Linked DNA regions of Yarrowia lipolytica. The protein of the gene in region 1 interacts with the protein of each later gene in a pairwise test. Links are inferred from orthologs where the notes say so. Each region holds a gene or a part of one and is shown on either strand. Other genes may lie near its edges.

The links. The genes of interacting proteins can lie anywhere in the genome.
Region 2: the proteins of YALI1_E33858g (region 1) and YALI1_D35126g interact in binary tests that used the Saccharomyces cerevisiae proteins (3 or more experiments, as listed by UniProt). The link is inferred for Yarrowia lipolytica from reciprocal best matches to the Saccharomyces cerevisiae genes SEN34 and SEN15.

The regions. Positions count from the first base shown.
Region 1 is NC_090774.1:3,382,734-3,387,972, forward strand, and holds YALI1_E33858g (uncharacterized protein), read left to right. Parts: upstream 1-3,064; coding exon 3,065-3,862; downstream 3,863-5,239. Other genes in the region: YALI1_E33829g (uncharacterized protein), read right to left, coding at 1-221; YALI1_E33843g (uncharacterized protein), read left to right, coding at 1,542-2,264. UniProt on the Saccharomyces cerevisiae protein: Constitutes one of the two catalytic subunit of the tRNA-splicing endonuclease complex, a complex responsible for identification and cleavage of the splice sites in pre-tRNA. It cleaves pre-tRNA at the 5'- and 3'-splice sites to release the intron.
Region 2 is NC_090773.1:3,510,984-3,514,485, forward strand, and holds YALI1_D35126g (uncharacterized protein), read left to right. Parts: upstream 1-1,555; coding exon 1,556-1,879; downstream 1,880-3,502. Other genes in the region: YALI1_D35119g (uncharacterized protein), read right to left, coding at 1-889; YALI1_D35143g (uncharacterized protein), read right to left, coding at 2,069-3,220.

The DNA of each region.
Region 1 (5,239 bases):
AGCTTCTGTCCCTGCGCAAAGTTTGCCAATCGAACAGTATCGTTCAAATCAAGCAGGGTGGCGGCGGGTTTTCTGCCTGCAGCCAGGGTTGAGGTCTTTTTTAGTCCAAAGTTGCCCTCCAACTGGAAATGAGTCACAGCCTGATCTCTAAGAGTGGTCAAAGGCATCATTGGAGTTGTGGGCAGCTTCACAGACTTGAAATTCCACGTTATCGTCGTCATTGTCGCGTTTGTATTGAAAGCGTAGTCTGTAGACAGTATTTTGGACACCGATATTGGAGATGACAATAAAGTTGGGGTTGGGAGAAATATACTGTAATATTAGGAAGAAAGGTGTGGAATATAGAGATATCGCTTGTACTGTACGTGGATTTTGTGGAAGATTTCATGTGTGAAGAAAGTGAGATGTGGGTATCATTGAATATCAGCAACTGAGGAGACTAGGTCGATTTGCTTCAATAGTCAACCTGATCTTCTATTGTTACGGTTGACGGGTACTAGAAGTTTCTAAGATTCCGTCTTATGAAACTTATTTTGGTGATTTACTTGAAGGGAATGACAAGAGACGATCGAGTGAGTATTTTGTTTATTCTGTGGATTTAATAGCTGTTCCAATGGAATCATTTAGTGTGTCAGTCACTCTGAGTCAGATGTATTCCCTCTTTTTTATATATGTATCACGTAATTACTTGTACTCATAATTTTTAGACACAGCACCTACCAAGTCGTTGAGTGAAGCTGGACAGTACATACTGTAGATCAGAATAACTTGATAGGATGTGGATATGATTTCTGAAGGCTTCTTAAGTTACATTTTTATTTTACGGAACTGTTTTATGATGCTCTATCAGCCCTTTTTGTCTTCTGTCACCCAACAAGGTGGGCTACTGTAGCCTTCGCGGCACATTTCTCAGATGAAGGGACTTTCCAGGGACCAACCATTGGGTTCAATATTGGAGCCATCTCGGTTTTAAAAGCTGAATTGTGCTCTGTTTTCTACATGTAAGTTGGTGAATGTAACAGATTGTTCGCAGCTCCTGCATCCATCCTCATTGACACCCACCAATGAGCATAGTTTGGCTACACCACTGATGAGTACACTGTACCGTAACTGTACCTGCCGGCGTACTTCAAAAGACGTGATATTGATCTGAGAGGTTAGCTGAAAAACTAAATCAACATGCAGCCTTCTTCTTTTCCCGAAAAGTCACTCATTTTCTCGCAGGTGTGCCCATTAGCAAAACACAGACTCTCCAGCCCTTCCTCATAGAGTTCAAGCGTCATCAATTGGGTATCTGACCATACTGTACTATATCTTGGCCAATACAGATGATGAGTAAATTCTGAAAAGCGCATTCTTTTCTAAGTAGACTAGAAACTTGATTTCCTTACTCACCCCAACCCCATATACGCGTACATGCCACCTGAATGTCACTCAGGGCATAATACCCCACCTGTGGATAAACTCTATTCTTCCCCGGATATCTCCCACAGTGACCTCTCTTCTATCACTGTCACCTAACACACAACACACCAAACACAATGGCGACGCTTGCAAGGACGGCCAAGATCTTTGGACTCTCGCTCGTTGCTGGAGCTACTGCCATGACCGGGTACCACTTCGGTGCTCTGGGGCGTCATGAGCTGACTTATCCGGTTGCTACCGAGAAGGATCATTTTCACTCCAAGGAGAGCACCTTTCTTCACAACAGTCAATTCGCCAAGGAGCTGCGGGAGAAAGGTTTTCGTGAGACCCGTTTGAGTGAGAAGATTCCTCTGGAGTACTCTCGAGGATTCCTGGAGTCGTTTCTGAAGAAGCCTGGATACCTGACCGTTGATCCACTGCTGTTCTACAAGCGGTGTGATGACGGAAAGAACGGTGTCATGTATGCATTTCTGCACGTCGGCGACCATTTAAACGGACACACTGGAATCGTGCATGGTGGTTTCCTGGGCACCCTGCTGGATGAGTTTGTATGTCTGGGGGCCTTCCCCAGCCTGCCCTCTCAGCAGTACGGAGTGACTGGCACCCTGGAGATCAATTACCGACAACCAGTTCGAGAGAACCAGTACCTCATGGTGCGAGTGGAGACTAAGGACATTCAGGGCCGAAAGGTAATTGCTGACGGATCTATCGAGAAGTTTGAGGGAGGTGATCTGTGGGAGAAGAAGAAGCAGAACGTGCTTGCTGAGGCTGAGCTGGTGGTCATTGAGCCCAAGTGGATTAAGGAGATGACTCAGTACTTTAAGAAGAAAGACGAGTAGTAAGGATCTGGAGATGAAGGCAGTGTTTTGGCTACTGGACTCAAAGTCTGCTCGCTCAGTCAGAGAGAAGCTACCACGTGAGCAGCAATGAGGTGGGACAATAAGTGACCATGTCTGTTTTGTTAGATGTGTAACAATGTTTTTAATTTGTTTATGTGACACTGGCGGGACATGTTGTCTCAATGGGAGATGTCGATATAGAAGCTACGAGTAGCGAACTGCGAGGCGTTCAGGTCATACCGGAGGCCTATTGTAGGAGGTGTGAGGAGGATGAAATACTTCAGCTGTATTCAGCTACCCTAATGAATTTGCTGAAACTGAAATATTAGATCCTTCAACAGAATCATCATATCCTCAGGCTTGCCTGGTCCCTTTTAGGATTGAGCTCACACAGATGTCTCTTATCCGTCATACAGAATTTGAAACGGTATAGTCAGTAAAAAATTGATAACCACTTACAGTCTACTGTATCGTACCAAAGCATCAATGTTCTCCATGAATTTTCACTACAACTACAAGTAGCTTCCGTTACAAAGAATGCGTGTCTGAAACACACTATAGACCATTTATTTAGCCTTCTAAAGTCACCAAAAATATATGTTGTGTCGAATTTTAGAAGTTATAACATTGTACCACAAGTTCTCGAAAAACGTCTACTCATCTCGCTCCTTACTGTTCCACAACCCCCTCCCAAGCCCTTCATCACCACCGATTAAACTTCGGCCTTATCGAAAATAAGCTCATGGTTGTACATATTTTGATGCATATTTCTGTCCACCTAATTTTTTCCTCACCACATCATGATCCAGATCAAACGCATCAACGACAAGTATCTGGTGTTTAAGGTAGAGGACATCCGGTTTCTCCGGCAAGAGCATCTCATTGGAGGCACGTTAATCGGTACGCTACCTCAAATCCCCCAACAGAATGTCTTCTGTGGCCTGCCACTGCAACTGTTCAAGGAAGAGGTGATATTTCTGATGAAGAATGGAATTGCAGAGGTTGTGGACGATAGTGCAAGTCATGTGACAGCCCTTACTTCCCAAACGCCTGAAGATATCGAAAACTACGAAAAACAACGCCATACAGCCCAGCAACTGCAGATCAAGGAGTATACAGAGGGTATGCTTGAGCGACGTCGGCAGGCTCTTGAGAAGAAGGGAATGAGCGGGAAGATTGACAAGGAGGTTGTGGTTGCTACTGATAACGCCATATCATACGTCACTGATGCTACCACTACAAATGAGACGCTGGAGGGATACAACATGTTCAGCAAGGAGAATGTGCTGAGCGACCTGCTAGAGCACGTGACTTCGGCTCAGTATTATATCTTCAACTTTTTGCATTCCCGAGGGTATTTCTTGTCACCTGGCCTGCGGTTTGGAGGCAATTTTTTGGCATACCCCGGAGACTCCGTCAGATACCACTCCCATTACATTGCTATTGGCAAGGAGTATGAGGAGAAATTCCCCATCAAAAGTGTTATTGTTGGAGGAGGGCGTCTTGGAACTAATGTAAAGAAGTGTCTTGTTCTTGGGGGAGAGAATGACGAGGGTGGGGACAGTGTGTATTGCATTGAGTGGAGTGGTTTTGGTTAGATGAAGAGTGGGTGACAATGTACATACTATAATGAAAAATGATAATAAAAAGCTGAGGGATCTGATTGGGTTGTTGCTACTTATAATATAGATCGTTGACAAAGACCGCAATGTTTTCTTTAAGAAACCTTTGTGGTGTTGTTTATAGGTTCTTTTACAATACAATGTCAAAGGGTTTGCCATATGATCTTCATTTTGGTGTCGTATGAAAAATTACGGCGAGGAGATGAAACCATCAAGAAAAACAACTGTTGACGTTCACCAGATATACTGTAGAGCTTCTTTGAGCTTCACAAAAGCTGTCGCTTCCTACAAAGTACAAGTACAAGTACAAGTACATAGATATTCCTGCTCACACCAGAGCCCACCTTGATGCAGCATGTATTTGTACAGTAGCCTTACACGTACAATAGGAACAAACAGAGAAGTGTGGTGATGTCGTCTTCTCCTGCCGACTACAGCAACGTAGTAAATCCCTTGTTTCCACGTGACCATTCAGTCGATTTTCGTTTTCGTTTTCCTTAACCATTCGTCTAAGCTCTCACCATCAAGCTTGCTTGCGGCTATACGCTGTTTTTGGAATACAGTCTACGAACATTAACTACTGTACGATAGCTATGATACTGTATTACAGTAGTCTCGGGAAGAGGGACTCGTACGCCCGTCGCACTTTGGAGACTCGATATGAAAAATGGAGAAAATTTATAAGATAATAAGCAATGGTATCAGAACTACTTATAGCTACAAGTACCCTCGATTTTACCATTGGCATTATTTTGACCACAACATTTTCAGGATTTACCTCATCAAGTGCACAGCCAAATGTGGCTTGAATATGTTCGTCGAGGGGCCTCTTCAGAGGCAAAGCCCCGGCGACTCATGGGGCTCACACAGCCAAGCTATAATCGGCGCCACACCTGGAGCGCGGTTAGCGGAGAAGCAGAAGAGGAAGTGAGATATATGGTGAATAAATGAAGCGTTGAATGAGGGAAGAGTGAGATATTCAGAAAATGAATGTGTGTTTGCAGCATGGTACGATACATGAAGCACCTTACTGTAGTATGCACCGCACAGAGACGACTCTCAACCAACTATTGTGTCATTGCTGTCAGCTCGATTATGACACCAGCCCCTGTAACTAAAGTGAGCCTCATTCAGCCATTTAGTCCGTGAGTCGCAAAGACAGCTGCCTCGAAAAGACCCCAACCAAAACGAGCAAATGTGGCTTGACCAAAGTGGAGGAAATAGCGGACATGTAACACTTGACTTGACTAGCCCGGGTTTGCTTTTGATAACAGATATTATGTGGCGTGTGTGATAAAAACAGACCCACAATGGGTGTATCGCCGTGTCTCGGCTTGATTTCAGCCCAAATGT
Region 2 (3,502 bases), on another chromosome or scaffold:
CCATGTAGTCAGGCTGGATAGCAACGGCAACCTTCTGCTCGTACTCGCCATCGAGCCACTCCTCCTCAATCTCCATAGGGTAGACTCCCCAGGTGTTTGACACCCATTCGGTGATGTGGAAGACACTGCTGTCCTCAATTTCTCGCTTGTGCAGAGCCTTACCCTGAATGTATGCGCAGTGGAGTCGGACCTTCTCGGCGTCGGGGAATTCTCGGGTGTACCAGGTGAACCAGTGGACGTGATCAAGCATGACACCCTTTCCGTATTGAGGGGAGCACCAGGGGCCAACTCGCTGCTTCTTCACCTTGATAAACTTCTCGGGTGTGCATCGCTCAACAGGGTTGAAGGAGGCCTCGATGGGATCCTCCTCGTCCAACATCTCATTGTGGACCACGACATCAGTAGGGTGAGCGGTCTTGTAGCCAGCAGAACGAGCGTTCTCAGTCACGTCTCGGTTGACGTGGAACCAGTCTCCATACTCAGGAGGAGCATTCTTAGTCTTTCCTTTGACCACCTTGGGAGTGATGGTCTTGGCCTGACCGTCCTTCTTCAGCTTGATCCAAGGGTTGGGAACAGCACCCACCTGTCGCTGGCCTCGGAAAAGCGCGTCTCCCCAGACGGTGGGGGTGACATGCATGGGTTCACCTCCATCTGTGGGCTTCAGCAGCCACGGCTTGGTCACATGGGCCTTTGTGATTTTAGTTTTCTTGGAGAACACCTTGGGGGGTCGCTTAAAGGGGTCTGCTCGCTTCTCGAGGTCAGACACGTCTGTGGGCTCGGATCCGGGCAAATCTGTGATGGTCGAGTAGTCGATGGCTTCGGTGTTTACCACGGTAGCTGTTGGCAGCGCCAGAACGGCTCCGGCAAGAAGAAGTACCGAGAATTTCATTGTTGTGTACAGTAGTGTTACACGTGTGTTGAGGCTATGCGATGTAGCGTGCGAATGCGGGTTTGGGGGGCACTAGGGCAGATGCTGAGCTCAAATACTCTTGTTTTCAACGTGTTTTTAGGCGGTGGCGAAAATGGTCGTGACTTCACAGGTGTGTTAGGAAGACTGTTGGAGGGTGATGTGTGTTTTTAAACCTGATGCGTGATTTAGCTCAAAAAATGAGATACATGAAGTATAAGCAGAATGTTTGTACGGCTGGGAGGAGAAACGGGTGAAAAGTCGGGCGTTTGGAGGCGTAAAACGTGCGTTCGAGCAGCAAAAATGTTCATAACAGTGAATCAACATATTAAACGCCCTCAAACGGTCAATAAGCATTATATTCACGGACTTACCGCCGCCTCGCTTTCGCCAGTCGTATCTCAGTGTTACGTTTCCCGGACTTGTAGAGTTCTGAGCCTAATCCAGGTTTTTGGTGGCACCCAAGTCTTCTCCCAAACACGAGTATTTTCCAGCATATGCAGATTTTCCTAGGACCGTTAAAAATTAAATCCGACGGAGATAACGCGCCCGCAGAAACTTTGAGACGCACAGTAAGCAGAAAAAGTTAGTGGTAGACGACTGGCACAGATACTGAACAAAACAACCACTATCAATCACACATTCACCATGGCTGAACAAATAAGAACCAACCTTGTTCATCAGCATCTGTGGAGCGACGTGGTCATCCACCAGACTAAGCTCACAGACCTGGTGCATGGAACTCCACCCAGGACTTTGCACCCTGATGACGCTGAGATCAGATCGGAATGGCTAGTACCTGCCAGATCCAACGACGACTGGACTATCAAGCAGTGGGACGAGTGTTTTCGCGAGGCTGAGGGTGTGGCTGGAAAAGACGTCGATCGCATGCTAATGGCCATCGTGGACAATGACTCCACCATCGTCTACTACTTCGTCTACAAGGGTCTGGTCAAGCCTCGAAAGAACTAGATTCACAACTATTATACACCCTGTTCCGTTATGATCCCGGTCCAGGCATTATCACCTTGCATTATAAATATATGTACATTACATGAAACAATATGGTCTGGGGCATAGTAATGTAGCACCCAGTCAGCCAGAAGACCTGTAGCTCGCGGCTTAAATAGGTCTTGACTGTAACATCAACTTCCATCTTTGTCACTCCAAAAACACCATGGATTCGTCAATCACAGGGCTCAGTTTCACATTGCCACTGTTAACCCAACGTCTAACAGATTTCTTCAAAACCCGTCCTCCCAGTTGTACCTTCTTGGCTTTTTCGTCGCTGTAGAGAACTACAGCATGCATTTCTTTGAGTGCTCGCATCACATCTTCCGGCTGGATATAAGTATGTTCGCTGATCGTCTCAATCGTGATGACGTCTTCTGTACACTCTATCAAGATGAACCGGGCTATCGTAGTACACCAGTAAGACATATATGATAAAGTGCCGAACTTCGACAGCGGTCGCTCTGGACTTCCTTTACGGCCTTCGTACTTCGACAGCACGTATGAAAACTCGATCAGCAGTTTGCCCAGCCCTCGCCTTTGATACGGAGGAAATACCAGAATGCAAGCCAGATTGTTTTCGTCCCACGACAGTTTCTCCTTGGAGAAGAAGCCCATGGGTTTAAAGTGCCTGCTGCTGGCGGTATCCTTGCCGAGCACAACATAAAATTCAAAGGCATCGGCGCCGAAGAACACAGACTTGTGGTCCAGGAAGAGCTTCGCGAACAGACAGAGATTCTGGCAGTAGAGCTTGTGAACGGCGCCATCAACACGGCGAATGGCATAGTCTTTCGATTTGTAAACCGTCTCTCCGGGGTGCTTGAACACATACTTGCAGGTGCTTCGGTGTTGGGCCATGTCCTTGGAGACCTTCGAGTATTTGAAACACGAGTCGCAGACAAACAGCTGTTTGACCTGGAAGTCGACCTGGGCTGGTGGTTGGTCATTGGGGGCCACAGATGCGTTTGCTGATGATCCAGAGGACGAAATGGTTGAGGATGTTAATGCAGAAGAGGTTCCTCCAGGTGTGCCAACAGACGGAGAGCTGTAGCGCTCAATGAAGAGCCGGGACATGTCGCAGGTGTGATTGTCCTTGTCCTTGTCGAGGGCCTTGGCCTCCATCAACGCCATGGCCCGCTTCCAGGTCAACTTCTTGAGTTCGTCCTTCTGTGAAAAATAGTATGCCGACGAGTGGTACCACGTGTCGAATTCACGAGGGCCAAAGACCACCCGTCCAATGTTTCGTGGAGGCTCTTCTTCCTCCTCATCGTCCAAGGGGTCGTCGTGCATTAGTGTTGGCATGCCAGGAGAAGATGTTGTCTATGTTGAAGGACTTCGTTTCTCGTCACCACAGAACAGTCATGCACGCTTCAACGTCGCGCTTAAAGACCCATGAGGCGGATGTGTAATAGATTACTTGTAGAGCAATTACTAACGAGAATGGTGTATAACATACTAGGGCTCAGTGTGCACACTATGTAACCATCATTTAATATAAATGTGTCTCTTTTAATTACACCTTTCATTTTTCTACTGAGACCACCTCACTTGCGGCTCGTACTATTTTCGCCCCTCAAAAATCGA